Linked DNA regions of Ovis aries. The protein of the gene in region 1 interacts with the protein of each later gene in a pairwise test. Links are inferred from orthologs where the notes say so. Each region holds a gene or a part of one and is shown in the gene's direction. Other genes may lie near its edges.

Region 1 (4,266 bases):
ACACCTCTGAAATGTGCCTGCCTCAAGCAAAACTTCCTTTTTTTAACCGGGAAGGGAAAGCTGGAGGGGAGTGGGAACCCCAAAGTCACACACAATCAGATAAATTTGATCCGTTGGATCCCCATATGGTGAACATGGTCAGAGTCAAATCTGTACAGCATTGGCTGCAAAATTCTTGTATGATGTCTGGACTTCTTTTACCTAAGAATGCATCAATTCTTGGCTTCTGTTTGGCCTTTTCTCTCTACAAGCCAAAGGCTGACACAAGGCCTAATAGTAAAGAGCAGTTAACGACCCCGTGGGCATCGGGGTAAGAGGAAGGTGATGGAGAACAGGAACGCTGTCCTGGGATGACGCTCAGATTTGCACGTGTCTCTCTAGGGGTAGACTTGCAGGTTTACACAAGGAACTACACAGTCAGTTACAAAAGGGAGGAGGTGTTGCTGGGGAAGAAGAGAATGTCCTGTCCACCATCAGCCATCTGTCCCCCGCCCCTCCCACCTGCCAGCTCCCACCCCTACTTGAATGGGAGGGTGTAGATAAAAGAGACTCTACCACTTCTAACGTCCCCCTCCAGAAAACAAGAAACCTTGCGGGGGTGGGTGGGGGTGGGGAAGAGGAGTTCATCGTACTTCGCCGGAGCTGTGGTCTCACCCTTTGAGGCCCGGATGGGAGCCTGCAGGCTCCTTGTTCCTAGGGAGCCGGCAGATGGCCTGCAGCGCAGGGCCCGGCCCCCACGCTGGCCACGTCCGCTATCGTCATCTCTCTCTCCCCTCCTCCTAGCCCTCAAAATCCAGCGGCGGAGTTGCTCCCCGTAGGGCTCCCGGAGCAAAGCTAAGTGGGGAGGAGAAAGGGGCGGAGAGCGAGGAGAGAGGGAGGGCGAAGAGCCGGGCCACCCCTAGCCTTGGCCAGCAAGCCTAGCTCCCAAGGCTCACCCTCTCTCCCGGGCGTCGAATTACAGAAGCTCCCGGTTGCCACACTAATAGCCAGAGGGTGGGGAGGATGGGGAGGTGTGTGTGCGGCGGGGGGGTGGGGGAGGCGGCGGGGGAGGCGGGAGGAAAGGAGGCTTCAGGACTCTCCTTGAGGAAGGGAAGTTTCCTTTCTTGCCCTCGTTCCCTCCACGCCCACTTGGGTTCCTCCGAACCAGCCCTCTGCGTACTTTCCTCCCGACTTTGGAGACCTGGTGGCCTAACCATGTCCTACGCCACCGTTCTCGGTCCTCCTCAAGGAACCATAGGAGGGACGGAAGCCGGGAAAGCGACCCTTTCAGTTCCTGGCTTTCCGGGCTCGGCCAGTGTGCTAGTGGCCGCCCAGCGAGCTCCTCCTCCCCACTGATTCCCAGCCCGAGAGACCGCGGAGCCCTTCGTGCTTCTCACCTTTTGCCAATTAATCTTTCTGGGCGCGGTGGGGAGGGGGGCGGTGACGGGGGATGCCTTCCAGCCCCCACCTCCCGGAGGGGGGAGGGCGATTGGAGTTGGCGCGCGCAGAAAGCAGCTTCTGCTCCCCTTCGCCTTAGCGCTCCGCTTCTGCCCCTGCGGCCGTCGCAGCTGCTGCTGCCGCCCAGGCTGCCTGGGGGGGCGACTGCGCGTCACCTAGACTGGGGAGCGCCGGGGATTTAAATGCCACTGAAACGGTGATCCATCACTGCAGGAGCCAACAAACTTTCTCAGGAGGCTCCGCCATTGGCTGATAGAATCACGTGCCCCTCCCGTAGCGCCCTCCGCCCTCCCGCCCCCCCTCTTGCGCACTGTACATTCATATCATTTTTCTTCTTGGGCCCCATGGAGGAAGTGAGAAAGTTGGCACGGTCACCCAGGACTTCGCAGGACCCGGTCACTCAGTGACAGATGGACAATGCAAGAATGAGCTCCTTCCTGGAATACCCCATCCTCAGCGGTGGCGACTCGGGGACCTGCTCAGCGCGAGCCTACCCCTCCGACCACGGAATTACAACTTTCCAGTCGTGCGCGGTCAGTGCCAACAGCTGTGGCAGCGACGACCGCTTCCTAGTGGGCAGGGGGGTGCAGATCAGCCCGCCCCACCACCACCACCACCATCACCACCCCCAGCCGACAACCTATCAGACTTCTGGGAACCTGGGAGTGTCCTACTCCCACTCGAGTTGTGGTCCAAGCTACGGCGCGCAGAACTTCGGCGCGCCTTACAGCCCTTACACGTTAAATCAGGAAGCAGAAGTAAGTGGTGGGTACCCCTCGTGCGCTCCCGCTGTTTACTCTGGAAACCTCTCATCTCCCATGGTCCAGCATCAGCACCACCACCAGGGTTATGCCGGGGGCGCGGTGGGCTCGCCTCAGTACATTCACCACTCATATGGACAAGAGCACCAGAGCCTGGCCCTGGCCACGTATAATAACTCCTTGTCCCCTCTCCACGCCAGCCACCAAGAAGCCTGTCGCTCCCCTGCGTCAGAGACCTCTTCTCCAGCACAGACCTTTGACTGGATGAAAGTCAAAAGAAACCCTCCCAAAACAGGTCAGTCTTGCCATTCCATGAATGCTCCTTTATGATTCTGGAAGGAGCTGGTATGCTTAGTTTCCATGAAAAATTAATCTTTTTTTTTTTTTTTCTTCTTAAGAAAAGTTCTTGCCTCCCACTTCTGTTATAGGGTGTGGAGAGATTCCCCAGGTGCTTTGGGGGCAGAGGAGCATCTGGGACTGTTGTTTCCAAAGGGGCTGAATTTTAGAGGTTTAGGAAGTGGGTAGGTGTGTGTGTGTGTGGAGAGCATTCTGTTAATATCTCCAGGCTCCATTAATCATGGTCTGACCATGCTAATGGTTGACTTCAGTTCAACACCTTACACCTCATCACTCACCCTCCCAAGCCCGGATTAGGTTGAGAAAGTCTTGATTCTCCCTTTTACCTGAAGGTTGCTCTGAAGCGTGTAGGGAATCTGATATGATTATAAACATTTTTACCTTTTCCTCTCATTGCCCCCAGGGAAAATTGGAGAGTATGGCTACGTGGGTCAGCCCAATGCGGTGCGCACCAACTTCACCACTAAGCAGCTCACGGAGCTGGAGAAGGAGTTTCACTTTAACAAGTACCTGACACGCGCCCGCAGGGTGGAAATTGCCGCGTCCCTGCAGCTCAATGAGACCCAGGTGAAGATCTGGTTCCAGAACCGCCGAATGAAGCAGAAGAAACGAGAGAAGGAGGGTCTCTTGCCCATCTCTCCAGCCACTCCGACGGGAAGCGAGGAGAAGGCTGAGGAATCCTCAGAGAAGTCCAGCTCCTCGCCCTGCGTTCCTTCCCCGGGTTCTTCTACCTCAGACACTCTACCTACCTCCCACTGAGGCTGCCCCAGCCCCACTCAGCAGCCAGGGCTACTCCTCACACTGGGACTTCTTACCCAAAGCACATTCTTAGCTTATCTTCTTTCCATTTACAATCTCTCTCTCTTCCTTTCTGATCCTATCTGGGGAACTCCTGGCTGGGGATAATGTGTTTCCAGAGAATTCTAGATGAGAGACTTGATGTGGGGGTGGGGGGAAAGGGGTGTTAGCTCCCTAATGCAGCTTGAGCGCCAGCATCAATTTTCTGATGGCCCCTAACACCCCTACTTTTAAGAGATTTCGAATGAACCTACTGCTCCTTTCAGATGCCCTTTGGAAAATAGTCTCCTTTGCCAGCAGAAATATATCAGAGGGAGGCCTCTCATCTTTTATCTATCTGTATATTTACAGTTCTCTCCTACTTTGCCCTGAAAGTAGGCTGGAGAGAGAGGAGAGTCCAAGAGCTCATGAGGAAGAGATTCTCTATGAGCGTGTTTACACGATTAATTCATCCCTTAATTTAATTCCATGTGTGTGAGTTTGCTGGTTGTAAATACTTTGTCCTGAAAGATTTATCTTTATACAGATTTTCTAGAAATGTTTAGATTAATGTTTAGATTAAAACAGGATGGGCAAACTCTCAAAGCTGGTACAACTTTGTGATTATAGGTTAAAGAATAAAAGTTCTCACTTAAAATCAATCAGATGCCTTAGAAGGTAGTCTCAGTTTGTTCCTTCAGTGAGTTAAGAAGGCCTGCAGAATACAGGGGTCAGAAACCTTGCTTCCTGGGCTAAATCTCTCCCCATCCCCAACCCTTTCTTGTTTCTCTGGCCACACTCTATTTAAAATTTGTGCTGGGTTATCTGGGACCTAAAAGTATTATTCAAACCAGCTTCTTCCTTCCACAGTTATCTTAGCTGGATATGATGTATTTTCAGCTCAGTTGTTAATGTGATGGATGGCACAATGAAT
Region 2 (3,941 bases), on another chromosome or scaffold:
TGCCAGGTGGAAGAAGGATTTGATGTGCTGGAATGCCAGCTCGGGAAAGGAGGTACCTTCCCAGTCCTTCCTTAATTTGCTGAGGTTTTGACAGGGCCTGAGCTCAAGCCATCTTAAACACCCTCAGAGGCTCTTACATTCTGACAGGTGCCCTTTCATGGGAGGCATCATACCACAGGTGTTTGAAGGTGTTTTTCTCTACAAGAAAGGACTTTTTTTATGTACCTCAGGCTCTCATATTTTCATTCCATTATGTTTTACTTGTATTTCTACCAAACCTGCAGATATGGGGATTTAAGAATCAGCAGGGCTTGAAATGATTAGAGTCAAAAGAACTCTACCTTGGGACTTCCATAGTGGTCCGGTGACTAACTCTCTGGGGCCGGGGCTTTGAACCCTGGTCCCCGGGAACTAGATCCCACATGCCACAATGTAAGATACCCCAAGCTGCACCTAAGATCTGTTACAGCCAAATAAATAAAAATTTAAAAAAACAACAAAAACTTTGCTTTTTGGCCAATAGCATCCCCCCATCCTAACTTTAAGACTTCTACTTTCTACCCCCAGCCCCCAACTACTTTCTCCCTTCTCTGTTTCCCTTCCTCCCTCCCCCACTCCCCAGCTCTCCACACTCAGAGCGAGCGTGCCCTAAACAGTGACAAACCTGCATGTGCTTCCTTTATGACTAAACTCCTGGGCCTCTCGCCAACCCCCCACAGATGGTCGCAAACATCAGACACCCTTTAGGGGAGCCCCACGTTTGCAACCCGGCTGGGAACGGCCAGGCGGAGAAGCGTGATGGGGAGTGGCGGTGTCTTAGTCCTGGGGGAAGGCGCAGCCGCTTCCAGGAGGAAACGGGCGTTTCCTTCCCACGCGCTCGGCGAGCTCTGGGTCCTGGCCCCGGTCCTCCACCCAGCCCCGCCCGGAGCTCTGGGAAAAGCCAGTCGCCACACACAGGCACACGCAGGCCCCAGGGCCGCGCCCAAAGGAGAGCGGCACCCACAGCCAATTGCTATGGCAACCCCGGGGTTCGTTCCATTCCCCACCCCGCCGGTCCCCCCGCCTCCTGCCTGAGCTGCAGCCAACCGGCTTGTGCGCGTCCCAGGAGCGCGCTATAAAACCTGCGCTGTGGCGCTGGCCCGGGGCGAGCCCGACCTGGAGCGGGGCGAGCAGAGCCAATCTCCGACCTGGAAAAGGCCTATGAGAGCGACAGGGGAAAGCCTGAACATGCAGGGTGCGCAGAGCCCGAGTCTCGGTCTGCCCAAGCAGTGCCTCTGCCTGGCTTTCCTGCTCCTCCGTCTCCTGGGACAGGTGAGTGGCGCACTCACCAGGTGCCTCTGGTTACTTTCTGAGCAAAGCCCCTGCTCGGTCTCTGGCTCGCTCGGCTTTCCAGCATCCCTGATGAGAAGTTTCTCCTTCTGGTGTTTCCCGCCCTCAGGTCGCTGCGGCTGAGCGTTGCCCCTCCTCGTGCCCAGCCGCGTGCCCCCCAGAGCCTCCGACCTGCGCCCCTGGGGTGAGAGCGGTGCTGGACGACTGCTCTTGCTGCCTCGTGTGCGCGCGGCAGCGCGGCGAGACTTGTTCGGTGCTGTTGCCGTGCGAGGAGAGCCGCGGCCTCTTCTGCGACCGCAGAGCGGACCCCAGCGCCCAGACTGGCATCTGCATGGGTAAACCTGCCCCCACCCCGCCACCTGATCTCCTGTCTCTCAATAGCGGAGCTGTCCCCTCTTTCCTCTCCTCTTCCCTTTGTTCCCAGAGGGTGGTGCGCAAATACTCGTAATGATGCCCTAGTTGATTTTTATGGAGCGCCTGTGCCAGGGATGGTCTGGGGTCGCGTGGGGTTTGGAGGAGAGCCAGAAGCTGGAAGGAAACCTGCCCTCCCGTGGAGGTGAGAAGCGTTGGTCACTTGCCTCCCTAGAGAAGAATCCAAGTAGACTGGGAGCAGAGCAGAGTTAAGGGCCAGTGAAGTCATTTCCTATCCACGTTTCCAGGGGATGCTTGGGGGGTGATGGAAACTTGGGCTTGCTCACAGGCTCAGAGTTCCCCCAACTGTGGCCATTCAGGTTTGTTTTCACACCTGTAATTGTCCCATTTGAGCCAAAGCAGCCCCTACTCTCCTGGGACCTATGGAACCCCTGTATGAGTTGTGAGTAAAATCAAGCTGGTGAAACTCAACCAGTCGGTTTCCCACCTGGTGTACCATTTAGCTGGAGGCTGTCCCCACCTCCCTGGATGAGGGGGCTTGGGATAGTCTTTTAGCTTCTTTTCTAAACTAGCGATGATTTATTGCGCTGGGATGCCAAAGAATCTGAAGCCCTTCCCAGTTTGCCCAGTTAACCTGTTTGGAGACTGAAGAGCTCTGTTTTTCTTTTAAATTCTGAGCTCCTGGAATAGGAGAATCTAAGGAGGTTCTTGCAAAACGACCTTTTCATTGGGAGCAAAAGCTGTGTGACCTTGGGAGTGTCACTTCACAGTCTGGCCCCTCTTCCTTCATCCGTAACATGAGTGGCAGGACTGGGTGGTCTTGAGTGTCTTTTCTTCTTCTGGGAAGCTCCATGAGGACATCTCTCTACTGGTGACAGATCAGCAACCAGATGCCTTCAACTAGAGAAAGAATGAATTGGGGTTTGGAACATGTGCTGTGCATCTTCTATAGCTTCTCCAGTGCATCCTGTTTTGTTTTGTTTTGTTTTGTTTTTCTCTCCCCTTCCCTCTCTGCTCTTCTTCCCCAAGACTCTTCACCACGCCATTAATAATCACTGTAGCAAGCCAAGCTCCTCTGTCCATGGGATTTCCCAGGCAATAGTACTGAGTGGGGTAGCCATTTCCTTCTCCAGGGGACCTTCCCGACCCAGGGATCGAACTCAGATCTCCTGCATTGCAGGCAGGTGTTTTACTGTCTGAGCCACCAGGGAAGCCCCTTCCCTCTCTGCTCTTCTTCCCCATGATTCTAGCGGTAGAAGGAGACAACTGTGTGTTCGATGGAGTCATCTACCAGAGTGGGGAGACCTTCCAGCCAAGTTGCAAATACCAGTGCGCCTGCCAAGATGGACAGGTTGGCTGTGTGCCCCGCTGTGAAGAGGACTTGCTACTGCCCCAGCCCGACTGCCCAGCTCCCAGAAAAGTTAAAGTGCCAGGGGAGTGCTGTGAAAAGTGGATCTGTGACACCAAAGAGACGGGGACATTAGGGGGCCTCCAGACCCTTCCAGGTGAGAAACTCAACATAGCTGAATTTAACAGTCCCAGCACGGGAGGACATGCAGGCAGGAAGGACGTGTGCTCTTTGGGATTTGCAGTGAGAAACCAGCTTCAGTTTCTGGCCATTCATTCTTGGAGTCCAGCTGGCCCATGGAGATTAGACATAGCACGTGTGGGAATCCCAGCCAAGTTATGGAAGTATGCACACAGCCTCTCCTGAAGAAGAGTCATGTTCAGTGGTTCTTTTGAGTCATAGGAGTGATTTTTGTAATCTTATTACATGACTACTATTTATATTTTAGTCTGTCTCACTTGACCCTTATTAACATTGCAAAGGTATGTTTTAGCAACTTTATGCAAAACACACAATTGATATAGCTTCTATATTTATGGCAAGAGTCAATTTATGTGAGTCACTCAGTCATGTCCAACTCTTTGCAGCCCCATGGACTATAGCTCTCCAGGCTCATGGGAGCGGTTAGCCATTCCCTTCCCAAGGGGATTTTCTCGACCCAGGAATTGAACCCAGGTTTCCCACATTGCAGGAAGATTTTTTTTACTGTATGAGCCAATGCGGAAGGCTATCAATTCAAGGGGAATGACTTTTAGGTCATTTGCAAAGGGCCTGGTGATAGCTCTTTCTTTTCTAGATTCTGTCAACTACCTATGCACTCTCAAGACTATCTCCCCTAAGGAATGCCATCCCTGGACAAGTGTCACAGAGAAATGCCACCTTTCTAGATGCT
Region 3 (3,500 bases), on another chromosome or scaffold:
AATACAGATTCCAAGATGATTCCATTTGGAACTGTTTCTTAAACTCTTGGACTGTCATACAGAACCTGGCCTAGAAGACCGGGCTTTTCGGCGTGATCCGCGCCGCCTGCGGCTGAAGGTCTCTCCTCGGATAACTTTTCTCGGATGGAATTTTGTGGCTGCTTTAATACTCCGTGCTCTGACCTTGCCAAAACGAGCAAAGGAAGTGGCTGGGTTTCAGGACCCGATGCCTCCAGCCTTCACATCCCCGCTAGTTGGAGAAGCCGGCGGTCCTTCGCAAGACAGGAGCCAGAACTGGGGGAGCGGACTGCTGCCCTAGGGAAAACACCACTCTAGAGAAGAGGAAGAGGTGAACTTCTCCAGAGGCCCAGAGGAGCCGGGCTTTTATATTCTGCCTGCACATGTCTGCGGTTTCCCTCACAAGCGTCTCTGTCTGGGCTCACAGGACCGCAGCGCAATGCCTAATGAAGCGTGCCGAGGAAGGGGCGTCCAGCAACTCCGGAAGAAGGGCTGGGGCGGGAGAAGAGTCAGGTTACAGGTTCCATGTTCTCGAAAAACCACTTGAAAATCTGATCTAGAGACTCAAATTCCGGGACCCGCGAAAGGCCTGTGGAGCGACCTTCGGGGCCCCGGCAGCCGCGAGCGCTCGGCAGAGGTGCGCCTGCGGCTCCGGTTCTGCGCTCTCCGCTCTGTTCCAGCGCTTGCCTGAAGCCGGTTGGGAAGGCCGCGGGGTGGGCTTGCCAATTCCGGGTCGCCGGGAACCAGGCCTGTTTTCTCTTGACTTGCCTAGCATAGTGGCATAGGACTGCGGACACGGGCACCGCTCTGGAGCTGCCGCGGCCGCTGGCCCACGGTCCCCGCAGGTGCGCCCGGGGCTAGCGGCATCCCGCCCAGATCCAGGGGTGTAGCCGCAGCCGAGCTCTCCTCCCACCCCCCGCCCAGGGGCTGGTCGCCTGCGTCCCTCCCCGAGAGACAGACCCTGGGCGCCGAGGCCGGCTCTGGGCTCTTCGGCATCTCTCACTTCCCCCCTCGAGTGAGCCTTTGGCGCGCATCCAGAAGACTCGGGGATTTCCGGGTCCAAGCCCTAAAATAAACGCTGCGGAGGTCCAGAAAGCGGGGGAGGGGAGAGTAGCGTCCGCACGCGGAGAATGAAAACACTATGAGAACGACCCCGTTCTCTAGGAAAAGGTAATGAGAGAAGCTCAACAGTGAACTTGCTCGGAAATGCAAACCCAGCTCCACTCTCGCCGGGCGCATACCAACAAGCGAAGGACGAATCAGCCGGAGAGCCCGGCAGCTTCCCAGAAAGGGCCTCATGAATGAGAATGGGTTGCTAGGTTTCCTCGCTCCCTCCTGACACCCGCTTCCCACCAGAGAAAAGGAAGAGGCTTGGCCCTGCCACTGCCGAGCGGGGACGCGCGGCCAAGCCCACGCGGCCGCTCCCGCCTTCAGGACCCTGGAGAGCGGTCGCCGCGCCCCGAGGACGCCCGCCACGCCCCCGGGTTGCCTGTATTCGCTGCTTCCCGCCTCCACCTTTATTTTTCTTGGCAACCACTAGCTCTTGCTTTTCACACACATTTAATTGTCTTTTCACTTTGCTTGCGGGGGCTGTTTGGATTGGCTGAGTTAGGTTCCGGTTTGTAACTTCACTAAATGTTAGTGGATCAAGAAGCTCTGAGAGCTCCGAAAACCTGAACAAGGAGGGTGACCTCAAAAAGCCAAAGTTCAATCCTTTTACTGCGTAAATGAATCGGATGAACTCAAAGAATAAGAATTTCCGAAGGTTAGCCGTCGCGTTGGTAGCAAGGTAGAGTCCTGAGGCCCTGAGTTCTAAATTAACGTTTACCTATACATAGCAAGAAAAAAGTTTATCTTTACCTTAGCCTCTTAGATCTCCCACGCAACAAGTGGAAGGTGAGAGGCCTGCCTCTCAGCTGGAGGCCTGCCTCCAGCATTGGCTGGAGGAATAGATGAACACAGGGTGTGTGGAAAGGGGGCTGTAGATTGTGCTAAGTTCTGGTCTCTCCTGACCCCAGTACCCAGCACAACCGAAATCAAATCGCCAGTGCATTTTCCTCCAGCCTGAAGGCCTTCAGTCTCCTGCCTGTAACCAGGCCTCCCCTGGACTCTTCTCACAGGCCCTGGTGACCTCATCCGTCTCTAGTAGAGCTCTGGACACTTTGGACGGTGGAACAAGACAGAGGGAAAGAGGCAGGATGAGAGGAGGAGGCAGAGTGAGAGTTGCAAAAGTGAAGTAGGAGATTTTCAACCATATTCGAAAGAGCCAAGAGAGGTGAACTCAGACACTGCTGTGCACTGCACCTCACAGGGAACAGGTCTCAGAATTCCCTGGGAATGTTAACATTCCCATTCTGATGCGGTGGGTCAGGATAGGGTCTGAGATTCTGGTTTTCCAACAAGCTCCTAAGTATTATCCAATCTTCGGGTCCAAGGACCACACCTTAAGTAGCAGGCAGTTAGAAGGGGTGGGAGGAGAAGGCGGTGAGGCGGAGAGGGAAGAGAGGGGAGGATTAGCAGCTGGGAGAAACTAAGCAGAGTCCTCTTCCTCTTGCTCTCACCGACTTCTCTTGCACCCCCAAAGTAACGCCTCAAAATGCCGCAAACTGGTACTCTGCACTTCCTCTTCGGTCTGCAGCAGGACCCCACAATGACCTTGTGTGGTTTTGTCTCTCTCCTCCCCCGCCTCTCGCCCTGCCCGCCGGCCCCGCACAGCTCCCAGGTTCGCCCGCTGCCCCGACGCTGCTCAGCCTCCTCTTCGGCACGCTCTCCGGCCTCGCGCGCTTCTTCGCTCTCCTCCTTCGGCGACCCCCTCCTGAGGCTCCCCTGCGGCACCGGAACTTCTCCGCCCTGATCCCGGCCCTGCCAGCCGCCGGGCTCTCGCCGGGGCAGGAGGAGCGGCCGGGCCGCCTCTCGCTCCTGCTCAGGGCAGCTCTGGCACTGCCTGGCCGACCCTCAGGGGGACGTCTGCCTCGGGAAGTGGACGCCAGCGCCGGGCAGAGCTCGCCCATACCCGTGAGTACTGTGGTCTCACAGTCCGCGACCTCGCCGGGACGCCAGCATCCCGGGTTCCTCCCTAACTCGGACTGACCCACTCCATGTGGAGCCAGCAAGGGGAGAGCGGGAGGGCAAGCGGGAAGGTCAGACCCGGCCGCGCACGTTCAAGGAAAAGACGCCGGCTGCCCGCCTCACACCCCTCCCCCCAAGAGACCCTGAGGCTACTTTTCCCTGACCTCTTCCTTCCAGAGTCTATGGAAGAGGGAGGGGGCCCCCGCCGTCTGCGAGGCGGCTTCTCAAACTCTCCGTCTTTACGCGTCGCTCTCCTCCCGCTACTCCAAGCCAACCGGGGCAAGTTTCCGCCCCCTCCTCGCGCTCCCACTCCCCAGCCCCCGGCTACTGCGGGCTTGGGTGGACAGGGAGGAAATGACGTGATGTTATTTTAGGGTCAGGTCGGCTTCCAGCTTCAGTTCAGCTCTCCGCGC
Region 4 (4,241 bases), on another chromosome or scaffold:
GATTCTTGAGAAATAAAAACTTAAAAATAAATGCTTTAGCAATCTTGTCCTGCACCCCACAAAATAACAGGAGTCTCAGGGATTCCCTGCCAGTTTACCCACCACCCAGTGAGCCTGAGTTTAAAGTCAGAAAGCAAAAAAAAAAAAGTCAGAAAGCAGGCCTGGGCACCTGGGACTCATCTGTTTGTTCTGTTTCATTCCAAATATTTCTATTAACTCTACAAATACAAAAACCAAAACAGAAATACAAAAGATGAAAAAACAGAGATGACACAAAGTGGCCTAAATGGTCCTTGTCTTGAGAAAACTTAGGGGTTTATTGAAATAATAATAAATCATAATAAAATTATAATTTTATAATATAAATTATATAACTTATAAATTATAATAAAATATAGATATTGAACTTCAAATAAGGATATAATACTTATACTTAAAAGCATTTTATGTTTTCACTTCCCTCATCTCTTGAGACAACATTTGCTTCTGTTGAGTCCAGTACTTACCTCCCAAGTCTGTCTCCAACTAGACCCAACTCCTTAAGGCCAGAGGCTGTTCTAACTGTGCCCTCCACACCAAGTGCAGAAAGTGCTCAATAAGTATTAGGTGGGAACACCTGATACCCTGCTACTGAATATCCTGGTTTTAAAATATTGACAAGTCACTGGAAAAAAATAAATAAATAAAACCTTTCAAATGCTTGAGAGTAGACCCAACAGTACATGACTGTAGTTCATGAAAAAATGGCAAATAAAACTTTTAAAATAGTGGTGACAAGAAAAATAATGACTTTATCTACTCTGTCATTTTACGTGTATTATTTATTTCTTTACCATAAAAAACAGATAATGCCTGTGGTTAAACATTCAAAAACATATAAGCATACAGAGTAAAAAAGTGAAAGCTTATATTTTTATTTTCCTCTCCCAACCCCTCCCCAGCTGCTGCCCCCAGTTCCGAGTTTGGGATGTATTCTTCCTGATCTAAGTAACTAGGCAGACATATCTCCAAGCCTATTCGTGTATGTCAGGTTAACCCCATTTTACAGATGAGGAAACTGCAGCACAGAAAGGTTGAAGCATTCATCCAAGATCACAGAGGGAGATTCAAATCCAGATCCTCTGATTCCTAAATCAGCGCATTCCTTGCGCTACGCCCCGTAGGTAACATTTATGGATGAAGAAACCGAGGCTTAGAGGGTCCCTGAGCAGTCAGAACCACATGGTTCACAGTCCAATTTAGGAGAAGCAGGGATAACTGGGCTTGCACGGGAGGCTGCGTGATGGAGAGGGCCCTGACCAACGTGGAATCGAGGTCAGGCTTGACCATCTCCCAGCCCAGCAACGCCCCAATGTGGGGCGCGGGGCTCGCCCACGCCGCTCGGGTACCGGCGCCACCAACCCCTTGGCGCCCCTCGCGGCCGCTCCGCCCGGGCTGGCGCAGCGCTCGCACCGCCCACTCAGAGCCGGTCGGGAGACCGCGGTCCCGGAGACCCGAGCCCCAGCCGGGTCGAGGGACAGCCCTGGCGCGATGGCTCCCTCGGAACCCGGCTGGGACCTCCTCGGCCTCGCCCCCTGGAGCGGTCGGCAGGTGCCGGGCGGGAGCGGCCAAGGCCCGCAGCCCAGGGTGGGTGGCCCTGGCGGGCTGGGGATTCGGGGGCCGCCGGGGGGCTGCCGCCGGGCGCGTGGCGGGCGGGCTGGCGGGGCGGGGCGGGGCGGGGCGGGGGCGGAGCCGCGGCCGGAGGCGGCCGTAGCCCGGCCCAGGGGCCGCAGTGGCTGCCGCGGAGCGAGGCTGCCTGGAGGGAGCGCCCGGGCGCAGAGGGGTTAGCTGGCCGCCGGGGCCGCGCAGAGCAGGTACAGATCTTCCCTGGGACCCCTGGCCCCGGTCGCCCTCTCTCCCCCGTCTGGTTAGACCATCCGCCCCACGCCGCCGCGCCGTCCGGGTTCTCCGAGCCCCGCGGTCGCGCCCCAGCCACGACCCCGGCCCCAGTTCTTATAGCCTCGGAAGATCTTCCAGTCCCTGGGGTCCAATTCCTGGGGAGGGGGCTCTGATCTCTTGGAACGCTGGCCCCATCACTCGGACGAAGAATCAGCCAAAATTCCTACACAGAATAAAACTGGAAAACACACCCAGGAGCTCCCGGCACGCGCCGGGCACCTCCTGCCCTTCCCCTCTGGAACGGTATTTCTGGATGATGCGTTCCTCCCCCATCCCCCCAACCCTGTCATCCGCTTCCGTCCTGGGTTGGGGGGCACAGACGCTGGGAGGGTTACAAGTGGGTGCCCCGAATCCAGCTCAGCCTGACGACTAGAAAGGCAGGACACCTGTTGGGTGGGCCTCCAGGACCCAGGAGTGGCACAAGGAGGACCAAGGAGTTCTCGCCCAAGACAAGGACTCTGCAGCCAGCCCTGGAGCCCTGGACCCACCCCCTGCCCCTCAGTGCCACTGTTCCCCAGAGGTAGGTCTCTTGGGGTTAGTGAAGCGGTTAGTTCTGCCCAGGTCACTCCTCCTTGATCTCCACTGGCCAGTGTGGAGTTGTGGCAGGGAGGAGCCCAGGTTTGTCTAGACCAGTGTCAGCCGGGCCCAAGAATGGCCAGTTCTGTCTGACCTCTCCTTTCTTCACTCTGGACAGTGAGGCTCACCAGATGAGAAACGGAAAACATGAAAAGACTGAAAACCACAAATGTGTATCTGTTTCTGCAGCGTTTGTGTGTGCCTGTGTGTGCATGTGTCGGCCCCCTGCCCAGCTATGCGGGGGGTGGGGTAGGACTTTTCCAGAGAGGGAGCCAGGCCTGGCCCTGGCCCCAGGAGCTCACGTCACCCCACCCCCCACCCCTCACTTCTCCAGGGAGCTGCCAAAGCCAAACCCAGCTCAGGACAGGATTATGTGTACTGGGTAGACCCATAGAGAGAGACAGCTAGACACAGGCCTGGGGTAGCAGAGAGAAGCAGAGGCAGAGGAAGTGGAGAGGGGACCCAGCAGCAAGAAGTGGCAGTGACCAGCCTCCCATCTCCTTCTCTTCAACCACCAGGAAGGGAGTCAGGCTGAAAGCTGAAGGTTTGGGTGGAATGTTGGCCCTTCTCTGGAGCCCCTACCCGCCTCCTCATCAGGGCGGAGTTGCTGACCTCAGTGGTCAGCCCAGCCAAGGGAAGGAGCAGCCATCAGCAACCCCCTTCACAACCCCAAGTAGCTGAGGAGACCGTTCGGGCACAGGCCCCGCCACTGTGATCCTTCTCAACATCCCAAGCGCTGGGGTCTCAGGGAGGTGAGGGGGAATGGATTTGCTACCTCCAAGCACATTCCTGCCCTTCCCTCTGTCATTTTCCTGCCCCTGAGCTGGCCCACCTCAGCATTAGCTCCTTGGATTCCTCTCCCGGGTGCCTTTCAGATCCAACAGAAACATTTTTTTTTTTTTCCTGGAAAGCAGAGCTCAGAGCAGCATGAAGAGTGGGGGTGGGAAGGGTTCATTGTGAAGGGACTGGAGGGCCAGGGGGAGCCATGGGAGAGCCAGGCTTAGACCAGGGGAGGGTTCCAAGCTCCACTTCTCCAGTGATCAAGCTGAGACTGCAGGATGGACTTCCTGGCTCTTCAGAAGATAGACCCATGAGTGACTGGGGACCAATAGCCTCTCTAGCTGTATCTCCCCTCCCCAGCTTCCCCCAGCCATCAGAGTCTTGCCTGAAGGAAGGCCTCATTGATCCAATGCCAGAGGCTGGCCCCTAGAGGGAAGTTAAATATCACTGGGGAAAATCACCTGCTTCTCTAGAGATAAACCATCAGCCCATTTAGTTTATCCCTTGGCTGCAAAGTTTGAGATAGGCACAGTTGTGTCAAGTGTTCCAGAAGGAGCTTATTAGGTAAGAAGGCAAGAAAAGGCTGAGAAGCAGGTGGGAATGGAAAGCCCAGGGGGCTTCCAGTCAGCAGCTCAGAGAGGATGTCTGAAAAGTCCTCACTGAACCTCCCTCCTCAACCCTCTTAAGAAAGATGCATGTGTCTGAGCTGGCCTAGAGACAGTCGCTGTTTAGGACACAGGAGCTGAGAAGTTCCTGAAGCTGAAGGAGGGGACTGCGCCTGAGCTGGGAGGCTGAGGGCAGACCTCCACCCCTTCAGCTTGGGTAGATGGACAAAGGCAGTGCTCCTTTTCCCTCTCACCTTTAGGATCATTAAGGGATGGACCAATCTTCACCCCTCCATTCTCACTCTGAGTTGTCCTTCTGAGAAGTCATCCCTCCCAATCCCC
Region 5 (3,500 bases), on another chromosome or scaffold:
AGGGTGAGGCCACTCGAGGTGAGGGGAGGGAGAGGAGGGGCAGGTAGGTGGGGGGAGGGACGCCTGCTTTCTCCCTGCCCGCCGTTCTCATTATCACAGGCCGGTAATTCCAGCAGGACCAGCACCTGCCATTCTGTGAGACAGATCGCTGTGCACACCTGTAATTAGACCTAATGGGGGTAATTTCCAGGCAGGCTGGCTCGTCCGGTGGGAGATTCGCGGCAGGTGGGACGTGGCTGCTCTGAAAGGTCCCCTCATTCGGGGGGGGCTGCGGCTTTGAATCACCGCGTGATGGGCTTCAAACCACGAGGGGGATAACTCGGCGGCTGCTGCTAGAGCAGGCACTGACATTTGGAGGGGAAGTCTCTTCTTCGGGGGGTTTATTTAAAACCAGGACTTGAAGCCTTGTAGCCGAGGCGACTGGGGAACTGCTAGGGCAGCAGCTGGCGACGGGGCCTCGGCGGCCAGCAGCTCAGGCTGGGACTGACTGTGCAGAGCTCAGGGCTGAAAAGCTGTGCTGGTCGATGGGCTGTGAAGAATGTGGCTGGGTGTGGACCCGGGGAATTCTCTGGGACCCCGGAACTGCCCCTGGGTTAAGGACTCCAGCTCACAGTGCAGTTGAAGTGAGGACTGGGGCAAGGTCAGATGGGAGGGGTCTTGTCCTGAGACTCGGTCCTGGTGGCGGCTGCCGCTTCCCAAGACCCTCCTCAGCTTGATGTCGGGCATGTCCCCCTGGCCAGAGGGCTCAGGATGGGCCTGCAGCCCCTCGAGGTGGGGTCTCCTGGAGGCAGGATTGGGCTCTGACTCCACCTCTGATGATGAGGAAGGGCAGGTGCGGGGGGAGTGTGGCCTCGAGCAGACCTGCAGGATTTCACTACCAGGGCTGAAGCTACCTGATTTCTGGCGCTGCTGGCTGGGAAATGGCATTAACAGGAGGTGGGCTGGCTGGGTGTGGTGCCCCCCCTACACACACACACACATGGGGAGTGGGGCATGGGTGTTGAAGACTAAAACAGATCTTTCTCTGAGTCTGAGATGGACTATCTCCCAGGTCAGCCTGCTCTTGCCTCCTGCCCACCTGGCCGATCTTTCCTCCAAGCTGGCTTTGTGCTGGGCCACCGGGGGGTTGGTGTAAACAGGGCAGGGGTGGTCAGGCGAGAAGAGTGGAGGAGAGGTGGGGGTCCCCACTCCCGGGAGGCAGGTGCCTCATCACTTCCTCTCTCTGTTCCCTTCACTTCTCGGGCCCCAGCTGCCAAATCCATCTGCTCCCATCAGCCCCAGTGTGTGCTGCTCTGTAACTTTGATATTTAGATGGACGGTGTGTGGCCTCCGTTTGGGGCACCTAGTTCATGGAGCTCCCAGGTGCCTGATCTGGGCAGGAAGCTTCACAGATGTGATCTCATTCCATCAGACTGAGAGATGCTCTGGGTTTCTTTGCGTGAACCTTCCACATCTTGGGCAGGACACAGGCAGAGCTGGGATGCTTTTCCGTCCTATGACTACTTCCCCAGTGAGGACTGTGTTCCGGGCAGTGGGTGAGGCATCAGGGATTCGATGGTGAACAAGTCATGGTCCCAGAGTGCATGGGGCTCCTAACCTGAGGCAGACAAGGGACACATCAGAAATGATGACACAGGAGCCAGTTCTACACTGGGGAAGCCTGGGGTGGGGGCCAAGGAAAGTGGTCTTTTAACAGGAGTTAAACAGGAGGTGGTACTCTGGGTCTGCTTCCTGGAGGAGGTGACATCTAAGCTATGCTGTGCTTCGTCACTGTCATGTCTGACTCTTGGTGACCCCGTGGCCTGTAGCCCACCAGGCTCCTCTGTCCATGGGGATTCTCCAGGCAAGAAGACTGAAGTGGGTTGCCATGCCCTCCTTCAGGGCACCTTCCCAACCCAGGGATCGAACCCAGGTCTCCCGCATTGTGGGCAGATTCTTTACTGAGCCACCAGGGAAGCCCAAGGATACTGGAGTGGGTAGCCTATCCCTTCTCCAGGGGAAGTTTTTGACCCAAGAATCAAACCAGGGTCTCCTGCGTTGCAGGCGGATTCTATACCAGCTGAGCTGAGCCACCAGGGAAGCAAAGAATACTAGCGAAGGTTGTCATTTCCTCCTCCAGATGAACTTCCTGACCCAGGGATTGAACTCATGTCTCCTGCCAGTGGATTCTTTACCACTGAGCCACCGGGGAAGGAGAGGATGAATCCAGGGGTTGGCTCAGAAAGAGCAGACATCACAGCCCAAATGGAGATGGAACAGTGAGCTTTAGGGAAAGAGGAAAAACTTGGTGTAGCTGGAAGAGAGCCAAGGAGAGATGAGCTGTCCTGAGCCCCTGGGGGCACTGCGGGGTGCACTGAGGAGCAGGGCATTTGAGTGGATGGAGTGGTCGGCTCACTGGGTGCAGGATGCCTGAGCCCCCAGATCTCTGCTCCCAGAGCTGAGCGGCCAGGTCTGGGGAGCCCCAGGGTTTCTCCTGACCCATGTGTCTGCCTGTCTCTCCCACAGGTGGACCCCTACCTGCCCTACGAGTACACATGTGAGGGGATGCTGGAGCGAATCCATGCCTACATCCAGCACCAGGTGTGTGGGTCCCCCACCCTCTGTCTCTGGGGTGGGATGGCTCCAGAGTCTGAGGACCCACCTCTGCCTGGGGTGCAGGGTGCTTTAAACCCCCAGTCTTTCTCCAGCCTGTTTTCTTCCCTGTGAAGGGTGGAGATGGACTGTTGGGGGGACAACAGTACTACTCAGAGACCAGGCCTGGAGCGCCCCTCTCCTGGACCCCCAGCTCTAGCATCCCAGCCTCCATATCATAGCATGGAAATCCAAATACTTTTATTTTTCATTTTATTATAAAGCTGTTTAAAAGTTTGGTAGCAAGTGAGGGGGAAGTAGGGAGTAGGTTGAGTCGGCGGGAGAGAGGCACCCCAATTTTCCTCCTAACTCTGCTTTCCTCCCGGCAGGACTTTTGTGTAGACCCGGCTCCTGCCCCACCTGGGGCCCGAGCCCCGCAAAGCCCCTTCATCCTGGCTCCCAATGCCACCCATCTCGAATGGGCCCACAACACCAGCTTAGCCCCGGGGGCCTGGCCCCCAGTGCACTCTCTCCGGGCCTGGCTGGCTGCCACGGGGAGGGCCTGCACGGACGCCTGCCTGGACCACGGGCTGATCTGTGAGCCCTCGTTCTTCCCCTTCCTCAACAGCCAGGACGCCTTCCAGAAGTGAGTGAGCCCCCTGCCTGACCTGGCCCAGCTGACCTCACCTGTAGCCTGTCACTCCCTTGACCACCTTGCCCCCTGGCCTGCCAGCAAGGGTGAGGGGGACTCAGTGCTTCCCAGAGAGGAAGGATCTGGAAAGGACCTTCCAGGCAGGTTTCCACATTGCAGCTCTACACCCTTGGCAAAGCCTCAGACCCCTGCCCAGCCTGTCTGGGCATCTTCTAGGTCCAGGCCGCAGAAACTGCCTGATTCCTCCTGATGCGTCAGCCTGTGGCCCTGCCCTCCT
Region 6 (3,500 bases), on another chromosome or scaffold:
GACACGACTGAACAACTGAACATGCATGCAGTATTCCTTGAGAGAGGGTGCCATGGGCATTCAACTATCACTTGAGTTCTTTCCAAGGAAGACTTGGAGTAGACAGAGGAGAGAGGAAGGGCTGGTGCTGGACAGAGCCTGCAGGAATGGTGCAGGCACAGGAAAAGGAGTGCCCATAACCCCTCCGCTGGTCACGGGTAATTATTCACACACACACACACGTGTACTTACATGCATACAGACATACACCAACATACATGCATGCAAACATACAGATATATCTTAATGAAATCCTTGAAAACATTTTATTTAGTAATCTTTTTTTTCCCTTAAACATAATGTGAGCATTGTTGTGATTTCTTTTGAATGATTATATATATTACATAGGGCTTCCCTGGTGGCTCAGACGGTAAAGACTCTGCCTGCAATGTGGGAGACCTGGGTTCGATCCCTGGGTCTGGAAGATCCCCTGGAGAAAGGCATGGCAATCCACTCCAGTTTTCTTTCCTGGAGAATCCCCATGGACAAAGGAGCTACATAATTATTAGAGATTAAGGCTAATTCTAATTTTATTACAAGCAATGCTGTGATTAATGTCTTCGTCATGAAATTCTATGCCCATTAGGAATTATTACCTTAGAGATAAACCCCTAAAGCTAGACCTGCTGGGTGAAAGCACAGAGGGCCGGGCTAGGGTTCCTGGTACATCTCACCAGGCACAGTTCCAGGAGGTCCCCAGTAGTTCTCCTGCCAGCTGTCATGAAGGTGCCCATCCTCGTACCCTCTTGCCAACCTGGGCCTTATTGTTATTATTATTATGTTTTTAATGATTTTATAATTTGGCAGGCAAAGATGCAATATCAGTTAAATGTCCTTGATTACTAGTAAGTTTGAACATTTTTCAATGAATGTTCATAAACTTTATTTCTGTCCATTCATGCTCATGATTCATTTATTTTATAGCAGAAGTTTGTGCCTTTCAATCTCCCTCACCTAGTACATCCACTTTAATTTAAACCATTCAACTTCTTTTGTGAATTGCCTATTTTATGTCAGGCTTGATTTTAGTTTTTGTGTGGGAAAGGGAATAGAGTCAGGTGTTCAAGGACAAACAGAGACTTTTGCAGCTATAAATGAGGAAGAAGGTTGTTCTGGAAGGAGAGCATAGCTGGGGAAAGATGTGGGGATGCCGGCCTGGGCAGCAAGCCTGGAGGACAGAGAGGTGGAGAGTGTGACCATCCCTGGGGAGGTGGGCAGGTGCTGGTCTGGGGCTGGGTAGTAAAGAGTTTAAACAGGATTCTGTGCACAGTTTAGAGGCTGCTGTGGGCTTTAGGCTGGAGAGCGACATGGCCGGGTTTAAGTTTCAGGCAAGTCTCAGGTGTTGACCGTGGTGCGTGGCCTGGAGGTTGGGGAGGCTGTGGGCACCCGGGGATGAAGGTGATGGTCCTCAGCATAGGGGGCCTGTGTGGGCAGGGTGGAGAGGCAGGCATCTCAGAGGCAGGCAGGCTGGGAGAGGAGCGCTGGTGTGGCGCCGGGCTCTCCTCTCTGTGGCTCAGCGTCCCCGGAAGGGAACTTGTGAATTGGCCGCTGGTGGCCCAAGCACAGGGCAGGCGGATGGCCGTGCGGCACAGCGCCGGCTCCCGCACCTCTCCCGGCCCTAGGATGCTAAGGAACAACCGCATCAGCTGCATCCACAACGACAGCTTCACGGGCCTGCGCAACGTGCGCCTCCTCTCGCTCTACGACAACCAGATCGCCACCATCTCCCCGGGAGCCTTCGACACGCTCCAGGCCCTCTCCACGCTGTAAGTGCGGCTCGGAGGGCGCAGGGCCGGCGCGGGCCGGGCTGAACCCTGGAGCCCCGGCCACTCGTCCTGTCTGCAGGGCATGGATGGTCTTCTGCGGTTACTGTGAAGGACTCAGGCGTTTGGGTCTTTACGCGTTAACGTGCCACCTCCTAGTCGCTGCTGGTGGTCCTGGGTGACCGTGTGGCCAGCAAGTGGCAGGCAGGAGCCGGCTTTGCTGGGACAGCTGAGTCTCGCGGGGCGGCTTTTGTGGTCACACCACTCGCCTCTTCCAGAAACCTTCTGGCCAACCCTTTCAACTGCAACTGCCAGCTGGCGTGGCTGGGCGACTGGCTGCGCAAGAGGAAGATCGTGACGGGGAACCCGCGGTGCCAGAACCCAGACTTCTTGCGGCAGATTCCCCTGCAGGACGTGGCCTCCCCCGACTTCAGGTGTGAAGAAGGTAATGCGTGGGCACCCCCCGCCCCGGGTGGTGGGGGGATCGGGCCTGGTCGTGCCCCAGAGAGGAGGGGTCCCCTGGGGAGGGGAGGGGCGAGGAGCAGGACACCCACTCAGTCCTGCGCCTGCCTCAGCCTGGTGGGGTCTCCGGTGCGATTATAAGAACGATGGTGGGCTTGCTGTTTTTAAAAAATGGGGAAATACAGACAAAGGAAGGGCATAAATGTTACCTATTAGCTCGTCACTCAGAGAAAATCATAGTTAACATCTTAAGAGTAATGTCTTTAAGTAAGTTTAACCCAGAGACCTGCCTCCTAGCTGTTCCTGAGGGCTCCAGACGGTGGCTTCAGCTTGTGCAGCACCCACCCCGACTCTCTTAGGGGCCCCACCCTCCGTCCTTGGGTCACTTCCTGTGTCAGGATTGTCTTTTCCCTGAGTCCTCGATCTCTCTCCCGGGGGCATGTCCTTCTTTCCCTACACGCACAGAATCCAGCCTATCCCTCCATCCCCCGCCTCCCCCTCCAGAGCACCATATACAGAGGCAACTGTAGGAAGCAGATTTTTACCCAAAGTGACAGGGCAAGGTCTTGTCTTGGCCCAGCTGTCTGTGTTCAGGAGCCCCGGCTCCGGGGATTTCTCCGCCTGCCTTCAGCTTCAGCCTCCTGGCTTCTCCCCACCTTTCTCAGCACCTCCTATCCCCTTTCCAGTCTGCTTCCTGGGACCCTGGTGTCCTTATCGTCCGTCATACACTCAAGCAGAGGAAGGAAGGAACACAGAGGGTGCTCAGTACTGTTTATTCAATACATGAGTGAATCTGTGAAGGATGTTGGGATAGAAGGGGCTGAGATGCTGGGCCAGCCAGACCTGGGTACAGACTCCATGTTGCCTCTGATCAACCTCCTGACCTGAGCAAGCTATTTAACCTCTCCCAATCTCAGTAAGGTAGAAAGTCCTTCATTCCTTCATTCAACTGACCTGTCTGGAGGCTGATATGGGCCAGGCCCTGCTCTCAGTGCTGGGCCCCTTCAGTGACTAGAGAAGAAGAAAGGGACACAGGTCTCCGTCCCCACGATGCTCACATTCTAGGAGCAATGGTGGTCCCCGTTTACCGCATCATTAAAGAAATTACATTGGTACAGTGTCTGGCACACAGTAGGTGCTCAAGAAATGATGTGGCCACCATCCTCCTTCGCTGCTGTGCCCGGGTCCATCTTAGGTCTGAGGTGGAAGCGGTGAACCCAAGACCAATTCCAACCT
Region 7 (4,004 bases), on another chromosome or scaffold:
CTGCTCCTCCTCCCAAGGATGGGGCTCTCTGCTAAGGAGTATGGCCTAGATCCCGGAATTCTCCAGTTCAGCCAGACCAGATGCCTCCCAAGATTAAGAAGGAGGGTGCTGGGATGGTTGGGAGGATGGTGGGAATGTGGGGGTGGGAGGTGGCAGGGAGGCTGTCACGACCGGGAAAGTAAGACAAAAGAGGTTGTGGGTAGGGTGGAGAGGCAGAGGGTCCTGCAGGTGAAGGAAGAGGGTGGGGAAGTGTGTCAGGCTGGGGAGGAGGATGGTTGGATGGGCCTGAGCACAGGTAATAGTAGGGAGAGAAATGCTGTCAGCAGACAGAAAGGGGATACCGTCTGTTTCTGGCTAAGTTCCTATCCCAGGGACAGAGGAAAGAGGAGAGATCTCAGAGGGGATGTAGGGACACAGGCTGGGCAATGAGAGTGGTGTGGGGATTGAGTGGTGCTGTGGGCCCAGAGACAGGCGAAGATGAGTTGATGGGCCCGTCCTGCCCGTTGTCATCCTTAAAGACAATTCTTCATCCTTCCGGCAGGAACTCAGTCCTAGCGCAGTGGCCGGCCCAGGCCTCAGGCCGTCTCTGCCTCTCCGTGGCCTGGGGCTCCCGTCCCGGGCCGGACATGCACCTCCTGGTCCAGTTGCCCCGTGGACGCCGGCAGCGGGTGGGTGGTGGTGGGGGCTCCAGATCCGCCTCTCCTCCCCGCTTTGCGCCCCCTGGTCCCTCCCCTCCCCCTATCCCCTCCGCTCCCCCTTCCCCTACAGCCCCTCCCTCCTCCCCTGCCCGGTTCCAGCCCCTCCCTCCCCTCCCCCACTCGCGATCCGGGCCGCTGCTGCTGGGCCGGACCCCCCGGGCTCAGCCCGGCCCCTCGCCGAGCCGCCGCCGCCGCCCCGTTTGCTGAGGAGGAGGCCCCCGGCCGGGGCGCCGGGCGCGGGGCATAAAACGGGCCAGAGCCGGCGCCTGGGGCACTAGAGCCGCGTACGGCCCGGGTCAGCGCCCGCCCGCCCGCGCTCCTCCCGGCCGCTCCTCCCGCCCCGCCCGGCCCGGCGCCGACTCCGCGGCCGCCCGACGAGCCCCTCGCCGCACCGCTCGGGCCCTGGCCCCGGCCCCCTCCCGCCGCACCGCCCCCGGCCCGGCCCTCCTCGCGTCTCCCTCCTCCCTCTGTCGCTCCCTCCTCCCTCCCGCCTCCCCAGCTGTCCCGTTCGCGTCATGCCGAGCCTCCCGGCCCCGCCGGCCCCGCTGCTGCTCCTCGGGCTGCTGCTGCTCGGCTCCCGGCCGGCCCGCGGCGCCGGCCCCGAGCACCCCGCGCTGCCTATCCGGCCCGAGAAGGAGCCGCTGCCCGTTCGGGGAGCAGCAGGTAGGAGGGCGCCCCGGGGGAGGCGCGGGCGGGGAGTGCGGCTCGGGGCAAGTCTGCGCCCGCCCGGAGGGGGCGCAGGGCGCAGGTGGCTCGGCGCGGCGGGCGGCCCGGAGGGGTGCCCAGGGACCCGGGGCCCGGCCCGCAGCGCCCCGGGGCGGGCACACGGCAGGAGCGGGACAGCGGCCGCCAGCCAAGCCCGTCCCCGCAGGCTGCTCCTTCGGCGGGAAGGTCTATGCCTTGGACGAGACGTGGCACCCGGACCTGGGGGAGCCCTTCGGGGTGATGCGCTGCGTGCTGTGCGCCTGCGAGGCGGTGAGTGGACCCAATGGCTGTGGCCGGGGGCCCTGTGGGTCGGGGAGCGCTGAGGTCTTGGGACGTCGGATGGACCCGGAGCTGCTGAAGAGAAAGAAGCCAGTCTGCAGATATTTGGGATAATTTTTTTGGCGGAGGAGGCACGAGGAAGGATAGAGGAGAGGAAGCGCCCCCTTCAAGTCTCAGGTGTTGCCTATTATTGATCGTCCACTGTGTCAGGCTCTTAGCCAACTCCATTTCATCTCTCACTTAACTCCTAGTACAACCGCGTTAGACAGAGAGTATCATTGCTCCCGTTTTTCAGACGGGGACCGCGCAGCCCAGAGAGGTTAAGTAACTTGTCTAGAGTCACGCAGCTTGTAGGTAGCAAAGCACTCTTGACTCCGTGGGCCGACCTTGACCTTGTCCGATGCCTTCTCGGCTTGCCTTTGATTCTCAACAATTGATGTCTTGCCCTCACTCGGCTTTCCGTCTTCTCTGTGAGCAGCCTCAGTGGGGTCGCCGCGCAAGGGGCGCAGGCAGGGTCAGCTGCAAGAACATCAAGCCCGAGTGCCCAACCCTGGCGTGTGGGCAGCCGCGCCAGCTGCCTGGACACTGCTGCCAGACTTGCCCCCAGGGTAAGGCCGGCTCCGCGGAGAGGGGAGGGCGGCAGGGCCGAGATGCGTGGCTGGGCGGAATGGAACGGTCAACTGGCCCTCTCCTTGCCCACCCGAAACCCGTGTCCCCCACCCTCGGTGCAGAGCACAGCAGTTCGGAAAAGCAGCCGACGGGCCTGGCCTTCGAGTATCCACGCGACCCAGAGCACCGAAGCTACAGCGACCGTGGGGAGCCAGGAGCTGAGGATCGGGGGCGTGGAGACGGCCACACGGGTAGGCAGAGGCCGGGTAGGAACTGGGGTTGTGACAGGCGCCGGGCCGCAGCAGCGGGTGACGGAACTAGGGACATCTTCCTCCCCTCGCAGACTTCGTGGCGCTGCTGACAGGGCCAAGGTCGCAAGCGGTGGCGCGGGCTCGAGTGTCGCTGCAGCGCTCCAGTCTGCGGTTCTCCATCTCCTACCGGCGGTGAGAAAGAGGAAGGAGGGAGGAGGGGTCAGCCCGGGGCCAGGGAGGGAGAATTTGGAGAGGCTGCAGCAGCGCTTCTGGCCCAGGCTCAGAGCCGGTGCTCAAGGGATGCTCATTACCAGGCTGGACCGCCCTACCCGAATCCGCTTCTCTGACTCCACTGGCAGCATCCTGTTTGAACACCCTGCAGCGCCCACCCAAGATGGCCTGGTGAGATGATGCCATTTATGAGTGCTTATCCCATCTGGGCACTATGCTGAGAGCATGCTCTACATTGCCTCCTCGGGTCCTCACAACAGCCCAGTGGGAGAGAGGCACTGACATTATGATGCCCATTTTACAGATGAGGGAACTGAGGCTCAGTAGCAGAATGTGATTTGTTCAAGGTCATACAACTAGTTGGTGGAGGATCTGGGATTTGAACCCTGGCATCTGGTTCCAGGGCCCTTTCTTACACATCCTAGGAGAGCCTGGGGACAGCTTCCCGTATTCCTTTCTCACCAGACATGGGCCTCTCAGCAGGCATGTCCTGTATACTGAGAGGGCCTTCTTGTCTCTCTGCTCCAGGTCTGCGGGGTGTGGCGGGCAGTGCCTCGGTTGTCCCTGCGACTCCTTAGGGCAGAACAGCTGTATGTGGCACTTGTGACACCCACTCACCCTTCAGGGGAGGTCTGGGGACCTCTCATTCGGCACCGGGCCCTGGCTGCAGGTGAGGGGAGCCAATCTCTCCTGGACGTGAAGTTCAGAGTCTTCTTGGCCCCCCAGAAATGGAGTGGGCTGAGGGGGGCACTTTCTGATGGGCTCTCGTGGTCCTTTTTTCCCCAGAGACTTTCAGTGCCATCCTGACCCTGGAAGGGCCCCCACAGCCAGGCATAGGGGGCATCGCCCTACTCACTCTCAGTGACACAGAGGACTCCTTGCACTTTCTGCTGCTCTTCCGTGGGCTCCTGGAGTCCAGGAGTGGGGGTAAGCGGGATGGGGGCAGACACGTGAAGAGGGTAGGGAGAGCACCCATCTTTCAGAGGTTCCATGTGTGTGGCTATTGCAGGACCAGCCCAGGTTCCCCTGTGGCTCCGGATTCTACACCAGGGGAAGCTACTTCGAGAGCTCCAAGCCAATGCCTCAGCCCAGGTGAGTGAGGGTCTGGCTCTAACTGCCGCCTGCTCTAGCCTCTTGCTGTGCCCACCGCACCCTCCTCTGCCCCCAGGAACCGGGCTTTGCTGAAGTGCTGCCCAACCTGACAGCCCAGGAGATGGACTGGCTGGTGCTG

What was found.
Region 2: the proteins of HOXA1 (region 1) and CCN3 interact in binary tests that used the Homo sapiens proteins (3 or more experiments, as listed by UniProt). The link is inferred for Ovis aries from reciprocal best matches to the Homo sapiens genes HOXA1 and CCN3.
Region 3: the proteins of HOXA1 (region 1) and RGS20 interact in binary tests that used the Homo sapiens proteins (3 or more experiments, as listed by UniProt). The two-hybrid records come from large-scale screens. The link is inferred for Ovis aries from reciprocal best matches to the Homo sapiens genes HOXA1 and RGS20.
Region 4: the proteins of HOXA1 (region 1) and ADAMTSL4 interact in binary tests that used the Homo sapiens proteins (3 or more experiments, as listed by UniProt). The two-hybrid records come from large-scale screens. The link is inferred for Ovis aries from reciprocal best matches to the Homo sapiens genes HOXA1 and ADAMTSL4.
Region 5: the proteins of HOXA1 (region 1) and MGAT5B interact in a two-hybrid assay, tested with the Homo sapiens proteins (2 studies listed by BioGRID). The two-hybrid records come from large-scale screens. The link is inferred for Ovis aries from reciprocal best matches to the Homo sapiens genes HOXA1 and MGAT5B.
Region 6: the proteins of HOXA1 (region 1) and SLIT1 interact in binary tests that used the Homo sapiens proteins (3 or more experiments, as listed by UniProt). The link is inferred for Ovis aries from reciprocal best matches to the Homo sapiens genes HOXA1 and SLIT1.
Region 7: the proteins of HOXA1 (region 1) and CHRD interact in binary tests that used the Homo sapiens proteins (3 or more experiments, as listed by UniProt). The link is inferred for Ovis aries from reciprocal best matches to the Homo sapiens genes HOXA1 and CHRD.

The regions. Positions count from the first base shown.
Region 1 is NC_056057.1:70,524,166-70,528,431, forward strand, and holds the start of HOXA1 (homeobox protein Hox-A1), read left to right. Parts: upstream 1-1,466; 5' UTR 1,467-1,847; coding exon 1,848-2,493; intron 2,494-2,958; coding exon 2,959-3,314; 3' UTR 3,315-4,266. UniProt on the Homo sapiens protein: Sequence-specific transcription factor. Regulates multiple developmental processes including brainstem, inner and outer ear, abducens nerve and cardiovascular development and morphogenesis as well as cognition and behavior.
Region 2 is NC_056062.1:57,929,185-57,933,125, reverse strand, and holds the start of CCN3 (CCN family member 3), read left to right. Parts: upstream 1-1,141; 5' UTR 1,142-1,200; coding exon 1,201-1,311; intron 1,312-1,438; coding exon 1,439-1,664; intron 1,665-2,951; coding exon 2,952-3,206; intron 3,207-3,941. UniProt on the Homo sapiens protein: Immediate-early protein playing a role in various cellular processes including proliferation, adhesion, migration, differentiation and survival. Acts by binding to integrins or membrane receptors such as NOTCH1.
Region 3 is NC_056062.1:34,909,352-34,912,851, forward strand, and holds part of RGS20 (regulator of G-protein signaling 20), read left to right. Parts: intron 1-2,723; coding exon 2,724-3,033; intron 3,034-3,500. UniProt on the Homo sapiens protein: Inhibits signal transduction by increasing the GTPase activity of G protein alpha subunits thereby driving them into their inactive GDP-bound form.
Region 4 is NC_056054.1:100,567,421-100,571,661, forward strand, and holds the start of ADAMTSL4 (ADAMTS-like protein 4), read left to right. Parts: upstream 1-1,441; 5' UTR 1,442-1,626; intron 1,627-1,770; exon of another isoform or gene 1,771-1,853; intron 1,854-2,343; exon of another isoform or gene 2,344-2,458; intron 2,459-3,032; exon of another isoform or gene 3,033-3,266; intron 3,267-4,159; 5' UTR 4,160-4,241. UniProt on the Homo sapiens protein: Positive regulation of apoptosis. May facilitate FBN1 microfibril biogenesis.
Region 5 is NC_056064.1:54,245,288-54,248,787, reverse strand, and holds part of MGAT5B (alpha-1,6-mannosylglycoprotein 6-beta-N-acetylglucosaminyltransferase B), read left to right. Parts: intron 1-2,505; coding exon 2,506-2,580; intron 2,581-2,960; coding exon 2,961-3,217; intron 3,218-3,500. UniProt on the Homo sapiens protein: Glycosyltransferase that acts on alpha-linked mannose of N-glycans and O-mannosyl glycans.
Region 6 is NC_056075.1:18,144,938-18,148,437, reverse strand, and holds part of SLIT1 (slit homolog 1 protein), read left to right. Parts: intron 1-1,661; coding exon 1,662-1,805; intron 1,806-2,080; coding exon 2,081-2,247; intron 2,248-3,500. UniProt on the Homo sapiens protein: Thought to act as molecular guidance cue in cellular migration, and function appears to be mediated by interaction with roundabout homolog receptors.
Region 7 is NC_056054.1:203,596,902-203,600,905, reverse strand, and holds the start of CHRD (chordin), read left to right. Parts: upstream 1-1,204; 5' UTR 1,205-1,213; coding exon 1,214-1,361; intron 1,362-1,569; coding exon 1,570-1,673; intron 1,674-2,160; coding exon 2,161-2,290; intron 2,291-2,413; coding exon 2,414-2,542; intron 2,543-2,634; coding exon 2,635-2,734; intron 2,735-2,856; coding exon 2,857-2,944; intron 2,945-3,301; coding exon 3,302-3,443; intron 3,444-3,559; coding exon 3,560-3,700; intron 3,701-3,782; coding exon 3,783-3,865; intron 3,866-3,941; coding exon 3,942-4,004. UniProt on the Homo sapiens protein: Dorsalizing factor. Key developmental protein that dorsalizes early vertebrate embryonic tissues by binding to ventralizing TGF-beta family bone morphogenetic proteins (BMPs) and sequestering them in latent complexes.